2 separate regions of the Mus musculus genome follow, and region 2 is reported to be linked to region 1. Evidence: microRNA targets listed by miRTarBase, many of them from high-throughput screens and not tested one by one. Region 1 holds a microRNA gene; the other region holds the end of a gene's coding sequence.

Region 1 (5,377 bases):
TGCTACACTGAGCAGATAGATTGCTCTACTCCTCGAAGCCTCGGTTTCCTGATCTGTGATAAGGGGGTAGAATTTTGTAGATGAAGGGAGGACCAAGCAAGATCGTGCATATTAAAGTCTGGGTGTCATTAGTGTAGTCTGAGTGAGGCAGGGCTGGGTCATGTGTGTATCTGTATAATCATGGTAGTGTGCATCTGCACTCGTGAAGGAGCCTCAGTGGACTAGGAGCTCTGTCTGCTGACTTGGCAAATTCCCGTCAGCCTGTGGCTTATTCAGACCCTTGTGACCCCCGGGCCTCTGACCCTCATTTCTAGCAGCCTGTGTGGGGCATTGAGTAGGCAGACATGAGGTTTGCCTTCCTTAAGCAAGGCTAAAACTTTTGGTTTTATTTCCTAATAAACGCTCTTTACCCCGAGAGACTTATTAACTGAGGGAATACTAATGATCATGATAATTAGTCTAATTAGTCATATAACTAAACTAATGTCAGGGTTCTTTTCCAGTGTTCCTTCAATTAGCTGTTTCTTCCCATGCCTGGGGAAAACAAAAGCAGATATGGCTTGCACATCCCAGGTCCCGGGTATGTGCAGAGCCTTTGCCAATAGGTGTCTGTCCATGGTGCACACTGATGTGGTGGGTACCTGATACTCCTGCAGGGGCCCCTCTGGAGAAGATGAAATCTAGAAGCAGCAGGTGTGGCTCCGTTAGTCAGGTGGATGCCTAGTATTATTCTCAAAGCGCTGGGTTCAATTCCTGGCATTACACATAGCCGGGGTGGGTGGGTTCACTCTTGGAATCCTGGTAGGAAGGAGAGGCAGGAAGGTGAGATGCGCAGGGCCGTCCTCGGTTATATAGTAAGTTTGAGGCAGCCTGGGCTACATAAAACTCTGTCTCAAAGAGAAAAGAAACCCAGGATTTAAATAACGATGGAACAGTTGGGTCTCCTAACACCTGCAATCCTGTTACTTTAAAAGTTAGGCATGAGGAGCATTGTAAGCTGAAGGCCAGCTGGGCCACCTAAGGAGACTCTGTCTCAGAAGTAAAAAGAAGGAAGAGAAAAAGAAAAGGTTAGGGATGTAGCCGGTGGCGAGTGCTTGCCCAGCATCCATGCAGCCCAGGTTCATTCCCCCCACTTCCCCAAAACAAGAACGGTAAGTTAGGAAAGCCTGCAGCTTCACTCAGATTCATGTGCTAGGCTTAGGCCCCGTGAAACCGCTGCTCTGCTCACAGCGGGTCCCTTCATGGAACCCCTGTCTTGGTCATGCTAGGAAGACTTCTGTGGCCAAATGCCTTTACAGTTGAGATGCAGAGTGCTGCTGCCTCTTTGCTAAGTTGATTTCCGGAGTGTTCTTCACCTTTATTTCCTTAGTAACAAAGGGCTCTAAAAGAAAACGAACATGTAAATACGGTTTTGACAGACTCCAACATGCAGTGGGGACAATGTTGTCGCCTGATGTGGCTGTTTGAGGGGCAGTGAGATGAGTGTGAGAGGTCAGGGGCTGTGGGAAGACGGTTCAGACGCTTCGGACACTGTGCGGAGCCTCTAGAGCATATGTCAAATATTTACTCAAAGGTTGACTGTTAAACAGCTTGCATCACAAAAGAGCCTTGTGTTGTTCTTCCAGTGACATTCGAAATGGTTCAAGGTGTGAGCCTTTCCCTTCTATTTCTCCATCTTCTGTTAATGAGGCCTGAGATTTATTTCTATGGCTCCCCATCAGCTCCGAGTAGGCGCTGTGCCTTCATCATCACAGGGCTTTTGATAGATAAAACCGGGAAGAAGGGCTTTGAGTTCCCTGCCTTTATCCGTGGTGGTGCCTTGGGAGCGAGCGGGTGGAATGGAAGGGAGGCCTTTGCTATGAAAAGCAGAGCTCCCCTCTCCACTTTGCTCTTCTTGGCAGCCGTTTCCCACACTGAGGATTTGCGGGAACTGGCCTGCATGTAGATGAGCCAGGCTGTACATGGCTTGAGCTGAGGGCTAGTTCCTTTTCCCAGTCTCACCTGAGGTTGGAAAAGGATGCTCGAGGCGTTCCCACACTCAGCTTTTCTTGTGCGATTTGCTGGCACACCAGTCCTATCCTAGACCTGGACATCAGCCTGTCAAGACACTATTGCATCCATGGAGTGTAGATCATGAGCAGGACCAACCTAATCCAGATGGCAGGAAGGCCTGTACTGAGTGGAACATGACTCTGAAGGTCACCAAACAGGCTAGGGCCCTTGTTTTGTATTTTTCTTTCTTTCCGTTTTAAAAAAGATCTATTTATTTATTTTATGTATATGGGTGTTTTGTCTACATATATGCTTGCACACTAGGAAAAAGGGTATCCCATGGGATGACAGTTACAGTCGGTTGTGACTGCCATGTGGGTGCTGGGATGGAACCCAGGACCCTTGGAAGAGTAGTAGCTGGTGCTCTTAGCTGCTGAGCCATCTCTCCAGCCCATCCTTTTCTTGGTATTTCACATATGTTTCTTTGCCTGTCTTTTTAGTGGTAAGATACAGTTTAGGATAGGTTAGTGGTTTTTATATATCTGTATGTCAGTTTTCACAGCATTGACGACACTTGGGTGTCCCACCTGGCGCTTCCACCAGTGGAAATGGGAACAGTATTGAAAAGGGCTGCGTGCTGCGGCAGAGCCCTGAGTGAGGCGGCAGAGGTGACAGGTGACTTGTCTGGCACAGCTGTGGGCAGACTTAGGCGTTGACTTGAACTACAGAGTCACAGCCTCATGGTTATCAAGGGAGTAAAGAGGCTCTCGAAACTGAACACTGGTCCCCTGCTGGGGAAGGAGGTACAGTGAATGCCCTGAGGTGTGAATTTTACTCTGTTTCTTAATCTAGAGACCCCAGGCCCAGCAATCAGCGCATCAACAAGCATGTCAACAATGATGTCAACCTGCGCATCCAAAACCTGAGTATCCTGGTGAGAAACATCAAGACCTACTACCAGGTGAGGCTGCTTTGCTGGCCCAGGGAGGGGTCCCTGCACGTCTGCGATGGGGCCTTTAAGTGGGTTTCCACATGTGTGCAGACGTCCCTCAAGTGGGTGTACAGAGGCCCCTTGAGTGGGTTGCCACAGGAAGCCAGAGTAAGTGGCCCTTGGTGCTTTTCATTAGCCTTGGGGTGTGTCAGTTCAGAGGGGGAAGGGGCTTGCGTCGTTGATTGGTTCATTCTGAATGCCATGAGGGCTGGAGGCCCTGGGTTCACAGCCTGTTCTCTGTGTTTTACTTGGGGACTCTCTGGAAGACGTGCATGATCCATGTCTCTGGCTTAGTGGCTCTTGTGCAAAAGCCACTCGAGGAGAGAGAGAGAGAGAGCCACAAAAAGGCTACAGGGGCCAAGAATGGAACCATTGTGTTTCCAGACCTGCTGGAATCTGGGTTTACAGAGGGAAGGATCCACTTCACACTGCTCGATGTGTTTGACCAGCTGTACGGGTGGGTCAGCATGGCTGACACTCTGAGAGTGTTGGTGAGCTCTGGGGCCTTTGCAGACGTGGGAAGGTCTCTGCTGGCCTGATGCTTCCCCCGTCAGCTGAGGTTCCCCTCTGTCTGGGATGCTGCCTTGAGTCAGCTGAGAGACTACTACTGCCTGTGACTTGGGTCTGCACTGGGCCCAGGCCCTGCCTAGGGCTATGAGTGTTGCAGGGCCCTTGTCTTCTCTGCAGTCTGGATTTGAAATGGGTTGGGAGAGGGAAGGGTATTCTGTTATGATTATGTCTGTCCTCCCATCAGGGGAGGTAAGCAGTATAAGTGTACACACACCATAAAAGTGTGGCCATGGCACATGCACAGACACACCTGTACGCACACACTCCCACACATGAGAACACACATACACATACAAGCTTACCACAGATGCATCATATGCAAAACAGAAAGAATGGGGCCTAGATTAGCACATTTGGTAAAATAACTTGGTGTGCAAGCATGAAGACCTGAGTTTGATCCCCACGCTCCATGTTTAAAAGAATCCAGACGTGGCGGTGGGCACTTGTAGCCCCAGAACTGGGGCAGCAGAGATGGAGGATCCCTAAGACTCACTGGTGGCCAGCCTAGCCTCATTGATGAGCCTTAGATCCCAGATCGAAACCCTGTCTCAACTAAGTCTGTGGCTACTGAGGAACAGGTTGACCTTTGGCCCCAAGGCCCAGAGGGTCCCCTGCTGCCGGTGATTAGCAGCTGTAAGGGACCAGGTCTGGGCTTGGTGAAAGGCCTCATCACCCACTGGAGACAGTGTACCGCTGAGAGGTGTTTGCTGCCGAGTTCCAAGTGGGAAATTATCTCACAAAGGAGGGACTGGGTGACCCCGAAGGACTTGGGGGTGGGGAAGAGGACCTGATGATCTTGTCATTTTCCATTCTTTTAGCTCTTTGAGAGTGGGGATGGCACTGGTCGCTGTCTAGCCCCAGCTAAGCACAGTGCACACAAGCACTTGCAGGGAGCGACAGTCACTGTCCCCCTCATCTCGCCAGTTTGGAAAGAGCTGCTACAATGTGTGTGCATTAGTGGCTGGCACGTCATTGTGCACAGTGTTCTGTCTGTTCCTTCTGATTTAGGGGGAGCAGAAATTCAGTTCGTATATTAGAAGACTACTTGGCCTGTATAAACAGCTTGAAAAACAAGGGCCATGAAGGCAGGTGGCGCTCAGCTCTCTGGGGACAATTGCCCATCTCATGTAGTGTTTCCTACCGGTGGTTGAGTGAATGGGTTTTGTTTTGTGCTGTTATGGGCATGCCATACGTATAACTGTACATCCTGCCTTTTTCCCTTCCAATGAAACACTATAGCTTATTTTTGAGGGTTTTCAATGGGCATTTTCCGAAGGAACCACTCTCCAGCTTCCCTTGTTGGCAAGTAGCCCAGAAAATGGGGTGAAATGACCCACTTACCGTTCCTAGCCAGGCACAGTGGTGTACGCTTGTGATCTCAGTGCTAGAGAGGTAGCAGCCTTGGTGCCGGCTTGGGCTAGACAGAGAGTTTGGGGACAGCATAGGCCTCACAGTGAGACTGCCCTTCAAAACCAGCCAAGCAAGAAGCAGCTCTTGCATGTTCCATTGTCTGAGGCGGCCAGGAGGGAGAGGGGTCACCCCAGTGGTGGGGCAAAGGGTGGGTTTGTTTGTTTGTTTGTTTTTTAAATACCTTTAAAAAGTGTTATTTCCATGTATGGCTGTCTTGCCTGCGTGTATGACTAAGCATCACATACGTGCCTGGTGCCGAAGTGAAGTCACAGAGCGTTGTGAGTTAGCATTTGGGTGCTGGGAATTGAACTGGGGTCCTCTGCCAGAGCTGGTGCTCCTAATGGCTGTGCTATCTCTGCAGCCCCCAAGCTCCGTGCTCTGGAAGGGCTGCCGTCGACCTAGCTAGGCAATCGT
Region 2 (5,377 bases), not on the chromosome of region 1:
CTGGTGCGTCTCTGGGCGTCTGTGGTGTGTCTCTGGGCGTCTGTGGTGCGTCTCTGGGCGTCTCTGGTGCGTCTCTGGGCGTCTCTGGTGCGTCTCTGGGCGTCTCTGGTGCGTCTCTGGTGCGTCTCTGGTGCGTCTCTGGGCGTCTCTGGTGTGTCTCTGGTGCGTCTCTGGTGCGTCTCTGGGCGTTTCTGGTGCGTCTCTGGTGCGTCTCTGGTGCGTCTCTGGGCGTTTCTGGTGCGTCTCTGGGCGTCTCTGGTGCGTCTCTGGTGCGTCTCTGGGCGTCTCTGGTGCGTCTCTGGGCGTCTCTGGGCGTTTCTGGTGCGTCTCTGGTGCGTCTCTGGGCGTCTCTGGGCGTCTCTGGTGCGTCTCTGGGCGTCTCTGGTGCGTCTCTGGTGCGTCTCTGGTGCGTCTCTGGGCGTCTGTGGTGCGTCTCTGGGCGTCTCTGGGCGTCTCTGGTGCGTCTCTGGTGCGTCTCTGGAATCGTAAGCACTTCAGAGCAGCTGATTTCTTTCTCAAGGACGCCTTTGCTTCCTGCACTGGGGCTTTTTCTGGTAATTTGTATTTTCCTTCAGCCAGCACATTATTGATCTTTCTTTCTTTCTTTCTTTTTCTTTCTTTCTTTCTTTCTTTTTCTTTCTTTCTTTCTCTTTCTTTCTTTCTTTCTTTCTTTCTTTCTTTCTTCCTTCCTTCCTTCCTTCCTTCCTTCCTTCCTTCCTTCCTTCCTTCCTTCCTTCCTTTCTTTCTTTCTTTCTTTTTCGAGACAGGGTTTCTCTGTGTAGCCCTAGCTGTCCTGGAACTCACTCTGTAGACCAGGCTGGCCTCGAACTCAGAAATCCGCCTGCCTCTGCCTCCCAAGTGCTGGGATTAAAGGTGTGTACCAACACCGTCCGGCTGATGTTTCTTTCTTATGGGTTGAATCTGAAATGTGCTCACCCTACCCCAGGCTTCGTTTTGAAAGCTTGTTCCCCAATTGGTGGTGCCTTATTATTTTTTTTTATTTTTATTTTCCTGAGGCCCTGGGAGCTTTAGGTGTGGTGTGAGGAACGGAAGAGCTAGTTGTTGAAAACCGGTCATTGTGGGCCTTTGAAATGGTCCTAGATCCTATTGGACTCTCAGCTCTCTGATCTGCGGTGATGTGAACAGTCTCCGCCACAGGCCCCCCTGCAGCCATGAGCTGTCCAGTCTCACTCTATCATCTCCATTACGACGGCTGAAATCTACCAACAAAGAACTTGTCCCTCCCTTATGATGTTTCTGCCGGGACACAGAAGTGTGGAGACACTCCTGGTCCCCCTTGCTCTGTGTCTGAAGTGTGCCGTTTCTTTGTTTGTGTGTGTGGCTTCCTTTGGTCCCAGCTTCAGTGAGTCACATGCTCCTTTAACCCTGAGCTTGTGTCCAGCCGTGTATGCCACCCAGAGAAAGCACACATTGCTGTTCTCAGGGCCGAGAATGCCAACTTAGGCCTGTCCTTCCGGGTCTGGGACTCGGTTTGTCCTTTGCATCTGTGTGTGTCAGTGCCCCGAAGCAATGTTTTTTTGAATGCTTTTTACTTAGAATTTGAAATAGGCTTTGGATATTTTTTAATTAACAAGGCACAGACTTGGGGCTATATTCATTATTTAGACCAGAATTTATGTTGTACTTGATGCAAAAATCAGGCATTGCTTGTTCAGGGTAATTGTGTACAGTGCAATAAACCCAGTTTATGTAAAGTATTATTGAAGGAATAGCCAAGTTCCACAGTAAGCCTGCTAAATCATTCATTCAGGAATAGATTCACGTTTCCCCAGGTCTGGATCATGTGTTTTGACAGGTTTTAAAGCAAAGCAAAGCAGCAATTATTTCAAGGTGATGGTGGAAGCCAGGACTGAGAGAAATCCCTGACAACGGGTCTGTAGTCAATGACTGTTCTCTCTTAAACAGTTGAATTTACAGGTCATAGGTCACAGAATCGTTTCAGTTCATGTCTCGACTTGGCAACCTTGGATTTTTTTTTCATTAAAAGATAAATAAATAAAATGTCAATAATATCGCTTACTTTAAATCTATTTTTTTAATGTTGTTTAAACTTTGTTTTATAATTAAAATTCTATTGCTGTACACTAGATGTACAGCAAACATCTAGGTAGTGTTTTAAAGATGGGACCTCAGGTAGCCCAGCCTAGCCTTGAACTTGCTATGTGGCCGAAGATGACCTTGAACTTCTAATCTCTCTGCCTTGCCTCCAGAGTGCTGGTATTACAGACTTACAATGCCTTGCGTTTTGATCTCCTCTTTCAGGTATGTGTGTCGTGTGCACACATATTTCTGCAGGCCCTTGTGCCTGTGTGGGCGCGTGAGTTGGCCACAGTGTACCTTGGCTCTTTTCCTCTACTGTTTTTCTTGTCATTTTCTTTTGACTCCAGGTCTCTCACTGTCTTAGGGTTTCAGTGCTGTGAGCAGACACCATGACCAAGGCAACTCTTACAAGGACAACATTTAGTTGGGGCTGGCTTACAGGTTCAGAGGTTCAGTCCATTATCATCAAGGTGGGAACATGGCTGAATCCAGGCAGGCAGGGTGCAGGAGGAGCTGAGAGTTCTGACAGCTAGGAGGAGGGTCTTAAAGTCCACACCCACAATGATACCCCTACTCCAACAGGGCCACACCTTCTAATAGAGCCATTCCCTGGGCAGAGCATATATGAACCATAACACTCACTGAACCTGGAGCTCATCAGTTGGTTACACTGGCTAGCCGGTGATCCTCCTGTCTCTACCTCCCACTGCTGGGATTACAGGTGTGCGCACAGACTTTACATCCATGCTGGGGAGTCTAACTCTGGTCATTACGCTTTCTCAACACTGCCTGCTGAGCCACCGCCCCAGCACTGACAGCCGAGAGACTAAGTCCAAGAATCTAATGCCTTGGAGGTATTTGTTTTTCTTTCGTATTTCTGGTTAATGTACAAATCCCTCTGATGTGAAAACTATAAATCTAGATTATTTCTTCTGCTCTATACTTAAGAATTATAGAATTCACAGAGGTGACTGTGATATGATCAACAGTTAATCACCACCACACTTAACATCAGAAGCATTCCAGAGGTCACGAAAGGAGAAATGCCACACCTTTACGGATTTAATTTTTCTAGGTTGCAAATACATTGTTCTTGAGTTTTTATTTGGTTGTTTCAGGAGACATACAGCTGAAAAAACAAAACACAGTCACACAAAAATGCTACTGAGAGAATTCAGATATCTACTTGGCCCACAGGGGACAGACGCAGTGGCTTCTACCACAGGAACAAAGGAGGGATTTTTCTCCCTTTCAAGACTGCAGGCATCATTTGCCCTGGGATAAGCCACTGGGCATGACTATTTTGGACACTACTGGTAGGGATGTCAGTGATGGTCTCAAACAGAAGCATGCCAGAGAACCTCAGCCTGGAAAGAACAGATGCATCTCACAAGAGCCCAGGTTCAGTACCACTGCTCCCTGCAAGGTCTCTGATGCATCTCCCTGGATCAGCACCCCACTTGGCCAACTTACGACTTTCTACCCTTTGCCTCTACCATGTGTGTGATCAGGTTAGTGGGTATTTTTGAAATGCAGGTCGGGGTTTCTACCTGGCTAAAACCCCTTTAGTTTTCTGTTGAAATGATTCTCAGCTTTATAATTTTGCCACCAAACACTCTAAACTAAAACACTTCTTCAGGGCAGGCAGGTTTCGTGTGCACACCTTTAGTCCTAGTTCTTGGGAGGCAGAGGCAGGCAGATCTTTGTGAGTTTTAGGCTAGCCTGGTCTACATAGTGATATTTATAAAGATATTTATGTCCCTTTTAAAACCAAATAAGTAGCGGTATTTTTGCTTATGATGTTTATGCAATTAAATGAAGTTCAGTACAAGAACTCATTTAAAGCCATGCTTGAGAAAAATAGGGCATAGAAAGGTAGACATTTCAAAGCTGAACAAAAATCTAGGTTCTCTCTATGAATTTCTAAATATAGTCTGGTTGACCAGGAAAACAGATATATTTGTGAATGAACTGCAAATTAAAGGAAAACTTCAATAGAACAAGTACAAGTTTAAGTTAATGTAAAGAAAACATAATTATTGATAAAACAGTATACATTAAGAGAAATTTTAACTCTCTGTATTTTCAAAACTGTGCAAAAATTGCTTGTAGTGTCCTCAAATGGTCTGGCCAGTGACATAGAAGTCCGTTGCCTTTAAATGGTATGTAGTGAAGAGATGTGGCCTGCTATTGAACTAGCTGCAATCTGGCTGGGCTGTAGCTTTCAAACAGCTGGTGCGGATGTGGGAGACCTGCAGTACCGGGAGCAGCAGCTGGAGGGCGTCCTGCACATATGTGGTGCTATTGGAGCCCTGCAAGAAGGAAAACAGAGCTGAGGGTATTTTCATAGTTCAGTTTCGATGGCTGTCACCATATAGCAACATTCTTATTCTCTCTCCTCTCTCTCTCCTCTCTCTCTCTCTTTCTCTTGTATATATATATATATATATATATATATATATGCTCTGCCTTAATGTACACAAGTAGAGGAATCAGATCCCGTTACAGATGGTTGTGAGCCACCATATGGTTGCTGGGAATTGAACTCTGGTCCTCTGGAAGAGCAGCCAGTGCTCTTAACTGCTGAGCCATCTCTCCAGCCCTAACAACATCCTTTTCCTCCGAGGAGAAGGAAGCACAACAATATCATAGAATTCTCAGAATGTCTGCACTTGCAGTAAATGTAAGCACATGTTTTTGGATGGAGTGTGCCCAGATCTCAACTATGTGAGCTAACAAAAGGCCCTCATTCAAATTGAGACAAATCATTTCCATGGGCTTTTAAGGGACATGAGTATGTGTAGACTCATGGCCCCGCATGGCCAGTATTATCTATCCCTTTCTCAGGTCAACCCTGTGGTCCTGAAATCACAGGACAGAGGCTAGGGTCTAAACCACAACCATTTACAGAAAGCTCCACATAGAGTGCCCTGGAGAGATCACTGTAAAAGTGGCCAGTGAAGTTTAGGGAGGGTATCTAGAATGGGTATTGGCCAGCGGCTTATTATTGGGTGCCATATTTGTGGTGCACAAGTATGTTAAATTAATGTGCTAATGTACATGTTTAATCTGGCAGCCATGACAGAGATCTGGGGTGGGAGACTAAGAAGTGAGACTGAAACTCACTATATAGTTTGTGTTGGCCTTGAACTCACCATCCTCCTGCCTCTGCCTTCCAGGGTTTCTACTAGCTGTGTCTGTTCCACTGGGCTTGTCCCTACAGTTCCTGCCCCTTATGGTTGAGTCCATTGCAAGACTGTGTCCTAAGCAATGATACTCGCTGCCACCACTTGATTAGGTTTGGTCCATGGACAGC

Evidence for each region. Region 1 holds the annotated microRNA mmu-miR-1190 (UCAGCUGAGGUUCCCCUCUGUC, at 3,534-3,555, shown strand). A microRNA usually pairs through its seed, bases 2 to 8, with sites in the 3' UTR of a target mRNA and lowers its output. Matches are read on the target gene's strand: a 7mer-m8 pairs with bases 2 to 8, a 7mer-A1 pairs with bases 2 to 7 and ends in A, and an 8mer does both.
Region 2: miRTarBase lists Fam114a1 as a target of mmu-miR-1190. Seed matches in the 3' UTR shown: 7mer-m8 at 3,188-3,194.

Annotation. Positions count from the first base shown.
Region 1 is chr12:101,019,870-101,025,246 of GRCm38, reverse strand. Mir1190 (microRNA 1190) reads left to right here and starts at 3,479; the gene lies at 3,479-3,574. Ccdc88c (coiled-coil domain containing 88C) reads left to right here. Exons shown (of 30, transcript NM_026681.5): 3 at 2,845-2,953.
Region 2 is chr5:65,039,620-65,044,996 of GRCm38, reverse strand. Fam114a1 (family with sequence similarity 114, member A1) reads right to left here. Exons shown (of 14, transcript NM_026667.3): 14 at 3,096-4,373. The coding sequence ends at 4,257. Among named protein-coding and RNA genes, the nearest start is that of Gm32374, 22 kb to the right of the region's middle.